2 linked regions of the Xenopus tropicalis genome follow. The protein of the gene in region 1 interacts with the protein of each later gene in a pairwise test. Links are inferred from orthologs where the notes say so. Each region holds a gene or a part of one and is shown in the gene's direction. Other genes may lie near its edges.

Evidence for each region. The genes of interacting proteins can lie anywhere in the genome.
Region 2: the proteins of ciao1 (region 1) and ciao2b interact in binary tests that used the Homo sapiens proteins (3 or more experiments, as listed by UniProt). The two-hybrid records come from large-scale screens. The link is inferred for Xenopus tropicalis from reciprocal best matches to the Homo sapiens genes CIAO1 and CIAO2B.

What each region holds. Positions count from the first base shown.
Region 1 is NC_030679.2:125,065,746-125,070,005, forward strand, and holds the start of ciao1 (probable cytosolic iron-sulfur protein assembly protein ciao1), read left to right. Parts: upstream 1-1,460; 5' UTR 1,461-1,629; intron 1,630-2,580; 5' UTR 2,581-2,592; coding exon 2,593-2,731; intron 2,732-3,304; coding exon 3,305-3,453; intron 3,454-4,235; coding exon 4,236-4,260. UniProt on the Homo sapiens protein: Key component of the cytosolic iron-sulfur protein assembly (CIA) complex, a multiprotein complex that mediates the incorporation of iron-sulfur cluster into extramitochondrial Fe/S proteins.
Region 2 is NC_030681.2:7,564,513-7,568,618, forward strand, and holds the start of ciao2b (mitotic spindle-associated MMXD complex subunit MIP18), read left to right. Parts: upstream 1-1,306; 5' UTR 1,307-1,334; coding exon 1,335-1,461; intron 1,462-3,830; coding exon 3,831-3,910; intron 3,911-4,038; coding exon 4,039-4,106.

The sequences.
Region 1 (4,260 bases):
ACAACTGGCTGTACATGAATAGGTGTTGGCTAAGCAAGGAGGAAACAGTGAGAAAAACAAATCAGAATCTAAAGAAAAGCCATAATCATTAAAGGAACAGTAACACCAAAAAAGTGTATAAAAGGAACTACTACTACTGTATTCGCTTTAGAAACATTACTATAGTTTAGTAAATGAAGCTGCTGTGTAGCCCCGGGGGCAGCCATTTAAAAGAGAAAAGGCACAGGTTACATAGCAGATAACAGATAAGTTCTGTACAATACAATAGTGTTTTATCTGTTATCTGTTATGTAACCTGTGCCTTTTCTCCTTTTTCCAGCTTGAATGGCTGCCCCCATGGCTACACAGCAACTTTTTATATAAACTATAGAAGTGTTTCTAAAGCAAATGTGCAAATTTTACCAGTGCAGGGCAACAGTGCATTGTATTATGATTACTTAAAAACATTTTTATTTTTTGGTGTTACTGAGGGGTAAATGGCAAATCAGAAGAGGTGATGGGAACCCCTAAGCACACCCAGAACCCATTGGAGTACTAGCATTAGGAACCCCCTCCTGTCCCATTAGGGTCCCTGTGGATGACACCCCTGGGAGGGAACCAGAGGAGAATGTAGGGACCCCTATGTTCTTGTGCCCCCAGGCATTGCAGGATTGGTGCCACCCAGAGAAGTAATAAAGTTCAACCCAACCTTTCAGCTGTTGTGTGACTGGTTGTCCCTAATTAATTGTACAGCCAAAATATTTGTTACAAAGTTACACATTACCCCAAATAGATCAAGTCTCCTCTTAGCTCTAACCCATTGCCAGCAATAGAGCCCACTCTGAGCTGCAGCTTTATTGGCTAAGCACATTCTACCCACCCACTCGGGACAGAGCCGCCTCATAACAAAGGGGCTGCTGGGGGATACACCGAACAGCTGCGCCAAATCCGCATTGTACAACGCCAGGGAACGCGTCGGCGCTTTAGAAATAAAAGCTGCCAATAGACATGGCAGTATTACCGGTACAAGGGGCTGTATAGTTCTAGTTTACCCTAAGCTTGCCGAGTCACCCCTCCGAGACTCCAAACTCCAACCCAAGCGCTCTACTGTCAGCTACGGATTCTGGGACTTGTAGTTACCGGAGCCAAGATGTCAGGCAATACGGCGGCCTACTCTGATCTATTCCCTCTCTCCTCACGAACAGTAAAAGAGTTCAAAGGTGTCGATCCCAGGCGCCAAACCGATCGATTTACTCACCGCAGCTCCCGGTCCTTCTCTCCCCCAGGACCTCGAACCTCAGCACAGCTGACTTCCGCCTCCAAACTGCGTCATCATGACGTAACACCTTCCTTGTACCACAGAAGGGCATTCCGGGATGTGTAGTTTTTAACCAGCAGGAAGGAGCTGCGAGTTGTGCGCAGGCGCAACCCAGAGAAGCAGGAAGGAGCTGCGAGTTGTGCGCAGGCGCGGCCCAGAGAAGCAGGAAGGAGCTGCGAGTTATGCGCAGGCGCAGCCCGGAGAAGTAGGAAAGGCGGTGAGGGGAGACTAAAAGCGTAGAGAGAGGTGCTGGGGGGCTTCTTGGCGGCCGGGACTTTGGCCTTTAGTGGGCTAACTTTAAAAGCTGTGGCACTCATACAGCTCATATACACGTACGTACATACATATATATATACTTAGGTGCAGTATTCCTTCATAAATAAGTAATTGGGTTTAGCAGTGGCCCTGACACACGTGATGTGCATTGGTAGAACAAACACAGAATATCAAGTGGCCATAGTAGGGGCAGTGGGGCAGGGCCTCCTGCAGGTTGGGGCAAAAAGGGCATTTGCTGTGGGCCCCCCAGGGTGGAGGGGGAAGGAGATGAACATACAAAGCAAATACAGAGGTGACAACTAACCCCATGCCATGAGGGAGATAATGATCTACTCCAGGCCTTCTCAAGCCTTATTTCATGTTATCATTAAGTGTGAAGTAGGATTTAGGTTTATTATTAGAATTATTAGCTCCATTATGACATGGGGTTGGTTGACAGGGCAAGTAACCCATAGCAAGCAATTAGTAGGGACCAGTTTTAAAGCAGACATCTGATTGGTTGCTATGAGTTACTGCACTTGGGCAAACATTGCATTTTTTTAATATCTTTACACTCTTATTGGAGACTAGCCACACTGTCATGCTATAGATATTCATGGTCTAACGCTAACATCATTTCAATATGTAGAATAATTATACAACATTATTGTGCAAAAGTTGTTTCCAGTATATATATATAGAGGAGAGACTTGCAAAGTGCCCCTCTACTGTTCTTTCTGAACTGCATCTAATCTGTTATATGGGAAGCATTGCTTTTGTCCCTGGTTCAGACCTGCATTTGGTCAGATACCAATGGAATACCTGCAAAGCACCTAGGTTTTAGGTGGAAAGTCCCTGATTCCCTGGCCATGCTGGCATCAGATTTAGTTCAGGGAAGGAGCATAGCAAGTTTATCCAACCTGACTTGTCTCTGTCAGGATGATGGAAAATGTAGGTATGGGGTAAATACTGTAGGTAAGGAACTGGTATCTTGATGGTTAAGCATGCTTTTGTCTGTAATTTTGCAGAATAACCCCAAAATGAAGGACACCCTCACCCTCCTCTCTCGGGTTAGCGCTCACCCTGACTCCCGGTGCTGGTTTTTAGCATGGAATCCCTCTGGAACATTACTGGCTTCCTGCGGGGGAGATCGTACTATCCGGATCTGGGGCAAAGATGGTGAGTTTAGTGTATAGTTATGGAACTGTTACCTGGTACATAATCATTTCAGCAAGTTAAAACCTTAGGGGATGTTAGTGCCAATGACTAAGGCATAACTGCAAGGTGAACCAGGAGAGATAAGGGTTGCAGTTTGGATATTATTAATGGAAAATATGTTATCCCTTAAGTTTGGGGTGGCCCCTAAAATTAATTATTTGCAGAGTGCAGTAAGCCACCAACCACAGAGATATATGTGGCCCTAACCCAACAATCAGCCTGCAATGGAGCCACACAAGATAATTTTATACTAGATTATGTGAAAGCAGCCAAGTGCTTATTAGTTATCCTCTTAATCCAAGATTCAGTTCTGGATTCAGCCGTACCCCAACATGTTTTGCAGAATTTAGCCGAATGTTTAGTTTTCACCCAATGCCAAACCCTTACATTCATGTTACTTTAAAGCTCTAGGCAACCAACATTATTTTGTCAAAAGACAATGCCAATTTCCATCTGCTGCTAACTGATTTAGTATAGTAAAGCCTTCTTCTTGTGTATTATTAAGCTAAAATGTGTCTTTCTTTGGTTCTTCAGGGGACAACTGGGTATGCAAGTCAGTCCTCGGTGAAGGACATCAGCGCACGGTCCGGAAAGTTTCCTGGTCACCCTGTGGAAATTATTTGGCCTCTGCCAGTTTTGATGCCACCACTTGCATCTGGATGAAGAAGAAAGAGGAGTTTGAGGTAGGTAACAGAAGCAATGTAAAGGACTGAGTGCAGTAGTTAAGGATCTAGATACAAGGATTTCTTCTGTGACCTATTGTGTGCAAGAAGCTCTTCTCTTCTTTTGGGGTGGGGTGTTAATCGATGGGTGATTGGGTTATAAGATATCCTATTAATTGCAAATAGTGGCTTTGCGGGATGTTGGCAAAGAAGGAACCAAGTTCGCGAAAGGGCACCACATTGGCATTCTGTCAGTGTTAAGAAAAGAATACTTATTATGCCAGCCACCTGCCTGTTAACCAGTAAAACCAGAAATTCAAGGCTATGTGCTATTTCAAGGAAATATAGCAGGACACATTTATGGACTGTTTTTTTCAAAGTCCAGTAAAGGTTCTCTGTACTCCACATTTGTGTCCTGGACGTCCCCTGTGTGGTTACAGTGATACAAAGCAATATACACAGTATAATATTTCCCATTGTTACAATAAAAATGTCTTTATTACTTCTGCAGGGCTACTGTATTTCTAGAGGTACAGCAGTCCTTTGACAAGGAGGTATGGTCTGAAATTATTATCTTTATTCAGTTAGCAATGCTTTGTATTCTCATAGCATTAGCATTGACAGCCCCCTAAAGTTTTCAATAAACCTTCTAGAGATACCAAAAAAATTACAATTAGAATAGTTTGCTTTTTTCCAGTATAAAGCACAAATCAGCCGGAATGATTAAAAGTTATAGCGGCCCTCTAAACGATAGGATTATCAATGAACAGTAATAGTTTTATGTTTTTTTTTTTTTATTGTAGTGCATTACCACTCTGGAGGGACATG
Region 2 (4,106 bases), on another chromosome or scaffold:
CTGGTAGAACATAGATGGGCCCGTGGGCAATGACTGGTAGAACATAGATGGGCCCGTGGGCAATGACTGGTAGAACGTAGATGGGCCCGTGGGCAATGACTGGTAGAACATAGATGGGCCCGTGGGGCAATGACTGGTAGAACATAGATGGGCCCGTGGGCAATGACTGGTAGAACATAGATGGGGCCCGTGGGCAATGACTGGTAGAACATAGATGGGCCCGTGGGCAATGACTGGTAGAACATAGATGGGCCCGTGGGCAATGACTGGTAGAACATAGATGGGCCCGTGGGCAATGACTGGTAGAACATAGATGGGCCCGTGGGCAATGACTGGTAGAACATAGATGGGCCCGTGGGCAATGACTGGTAGAACATAGATGGGCCCGTGGGCAGTGACTGGTAGAACGTAGATGGGCCCGTGGGCAATGACTGGTAGAACATAGATGGGCCCGTGGGCAATGACTGGTAGAACATAGATGGGCCCGTGGGCAATGACTGGTAGAACATAGATGGGCCGTGGGCAATGACTGGTAGAACATAGATGGGCCCGTGGGCAGTGACTGGTAGAACGTAGATGGGCCCGTGGGCAATGACTGGTAGAACATAGATGGGCCCGTGGGCAATGACTGGTAGAACATAGATGGGCCTGTGGGCAATGACTGGTAGAACGTAGATGGGCCCGTGGGCAGTAGGAAATATCCAGTAGAGAAGTGGCTATACCTTTGCTTGTTGCTATGATACTGTATGTTTAAGGTGGCTGAGTTGGCCGGGCAGGGGCTGATCCCCTAGTGATTCATTCATTCACTTATATTAATCCTAGCTGTAGGCTAATTGTTAGATACAAACTACATTACCCAGCATGCAGTGGGACAGGTGCGTCAGGTTTACCAGGTTTCCACACTACAAACCCGCCAAGGCTCCATAGAAACAGCCCAAATCTGTACCTTAGCGGGTTTGTACTTTGGAAACCCACCTGGGCTTTAGTTAGTAGCTCAATTGGGTGGAAAAGCCGCCAACCCGGTAACCCTGACGGTAGCACTTAGTGTAACCAAGCCAATAGCTAAGGCTTCCGGTTTCCGGGCTGAACCATACCAACCTATACATTCTGATTCTAATTTGCCAGGATAAAACATGGCGTTTTCCTTTTCCGCCCTTTTCCACACAGCCGGTGATTGGTAGGCATTGCAAACCAATCCAAGAGGCTCGGCCAGTGATTGGCCCGCTGCGGGTGAATCAGCCAATGGCAGGCGGAGGTGCCTATTGCCAGACGGAAACATTTCCCGCACGGCGTGGTGAGGGCGGAAGTGGTACGGTAGGAATAAGGGTCCGGGGATGGTGGGAGGGAGCCAGCTGGAGAACGCGAATCCGCTCATTTACCGGCGGGCGGGGGAGCGGCAGGTCACAGCGCAGGAGGAGGATGAGGACGCGCCGGACCGGATCGATGACCGGGAGATCTTTGATATCCTTCCGCGTATATGAGCCGTACCCATGGGCGTAGTGCCGGGCTCACCCCCTGCCTGTTCCCTAGCAACCGGGGGATAGAGCCCTCTCCCGATAATATCCGTGTCCTTCCTGCCCCTTGTATCCGCCTGTGCCCATGGGGGTAACTGCCTCGTACTGTTGCCTAATACCCCCCCCCCCCCAAATCTACTGCCCTGGGCTGTCATCCACTCAGCGCAGTCTTATCCCTATCTGCCCCAGCAACTGCCCCCTTCCTATACTGACCCTTCCCTATCTATCTGCCCCTTCCTATACTGACCCTTCCCTATCTATCTGCCCCAGCAACTGCCCCCTTCCTATACTGCCCCTTTCCTATCTATCTGCCCCAGCAACTGCCCCCTTCCTATACTGCCCCTTCCCTATCTATCTGCCCCAGCAACTGCCCCCTTCCTATACTGCCCCTTCCCTATCTATCTGCCCCAGCAACTGCCCCCTTCCTATACTGCCCCTTCCCTATCTATCTGCCCCAGCAACTGCCCCCTTCCTATACTGACCCTTCCGTATCTATCTGCCCCAGCAACTGACCCTTCCGTATCTATTTGCCCCAGCCCTATATATCTGCCCCAGAAACTAACCCTTTTATATATATTTGCCCTATTCCTTTACTGACCCTTCCCTATTTACCTGTCCCATCCCTATACTGACCCTTATCTATTTATTTGCCCCATCCTAATACTTGCACTTCCCTATCTATCTACCCCTGCAACTGCCCCATACCTAAACTGACCCTTCCCTATCTATCTGCCCCATACCTATACTGACCCTTCCCTATCTATCTGCCCCATACCTATACTGACCCTTCCCTATCTATCTGCCCCTGCAACTGCCCCTGCAACTGCCCCATACCTATACTGACCCTTCCCTATCTATCTGCCCCATACCTATACTGACCCTTCCCTATCTATCTGCCCCATACCTATACTGACCCTTCCCTATCTATCTGCCCCATACCTATACTGACCCTTCCCTATCTATCTGCCCCTTCCCTATCTATCTGCCCCATACCTATACTGACCCTTCCCTATCTATCTGCCCCATACCTATACTGCCCCCTTCCCTATCTATCTGCCCCATACCTATACTGCCCCTTCCCTATCTATCTGCCCCATACCTATACTGCCCCTTCCCTATCTATCTGCCCCATACCTATACTGACCCTTCCCTATCTATCTGCCCCATACCTATACTGACCCTTCCCTATCTATCTGCCCCTTCCCTATCTATCTGCCCCATACCTACACTGACCCTTCCCTATCTATCTGCCCCATACCTACACTGACCCTTCCCTATCTATCTGCCCCATACCTATACTGCCCCTTCCCTATCTATCTGCCCATACCTACACTGACCCTTCCCTATCTATCTGCCCCCATACCTATACTGACCCTTCCCTATCTATCTGCCCCATACCTACACTGACCCTTCCCTATCTATCTGCCCCATACCTATACTGACCCTTCCCTATCTATCTGCCCCTTCCCTATCTATCTGCCCCATACCTATACTGACCCTTCCCTATCTATCTGCCCCATACCTATACTGCCCCTTCCCTATCTATCTGCCCCATACCTATACTGCCCCTTCCCTATCTATCTGCCCCATACCTACACTGACCCTTCCCTATCTATCTGCCCCATACCTATACTGACCCTTCCCTATCTATCTGCCCCTTCCCTATCTATCTGCCCCATACCTATACTGACCCTTCCCTATCTATCTGCCCCATACCTATACTGACCCTTCCCTATCTATCTGCCCCATACCTATACTGACCCTTCCCTATCTATCTGCCCCTGTAACTGCCCCATACTTATACTGACCTTTTCATATACAGTATATCTGCCCTTGCAACTGCCCCTTCCCTATCCATTTGCCCCAACAATTGCCCAATCCCTTCACTCATTCTCCGATATCAGCCCCAAGCTCCAGCCTCTAACTGCCTCTCAACAACCTTCCACATTTATTGTAAAGGGCAAGTAGCACCAAAGCAAGTTTTTTGTTAATGAATTTAATATGCGGTTACCCAGCATTGCTAGTCATTGTGTATAAGGAATTCGCTGTGTAGCCGGGGGGCTGCCATTCATGTTCCAGCGGGGCCCCCCTGTATATTGGAGGTACAGGAGACGCTGTTTGCAATACAAATATTTCAGAACTTGAGCTGGGCTCATATAGGCACCAACTCAGGATGAAACTTGCTCCTATCAAATAAAACTGATACACATACTCCCAGTTATAATGTCACTGGCCCATTAACCCTTTGGTAGCTTGCATGTTCTACTTATTGAGTTTACTCCTTGCTTTCCCTTCCATTGCCCTTAATTCCGGTACATCTGATTCGCTGTATAAATGACCCGGAACACCCACTTACGCTGGAGGAACTAAACGTGGTTGAAGAAATTCGAGTGAAGGTGCAAATTGCTTGTTACCCTATGGCCCCCCCCCCCCCCCCCCCCAGTATAAGTAAATGTTATGTACTAACAGAAGAGCTAAATTCTCTTAGTGAATATCCCTATTACTGTGCGTGTTTGTTCCTCAGGTAAGTGATGAGGAGAGCACAGTGTCCGTCGAGTTTACCCCGACCATCCCGCACTGCAGTATGGCAAC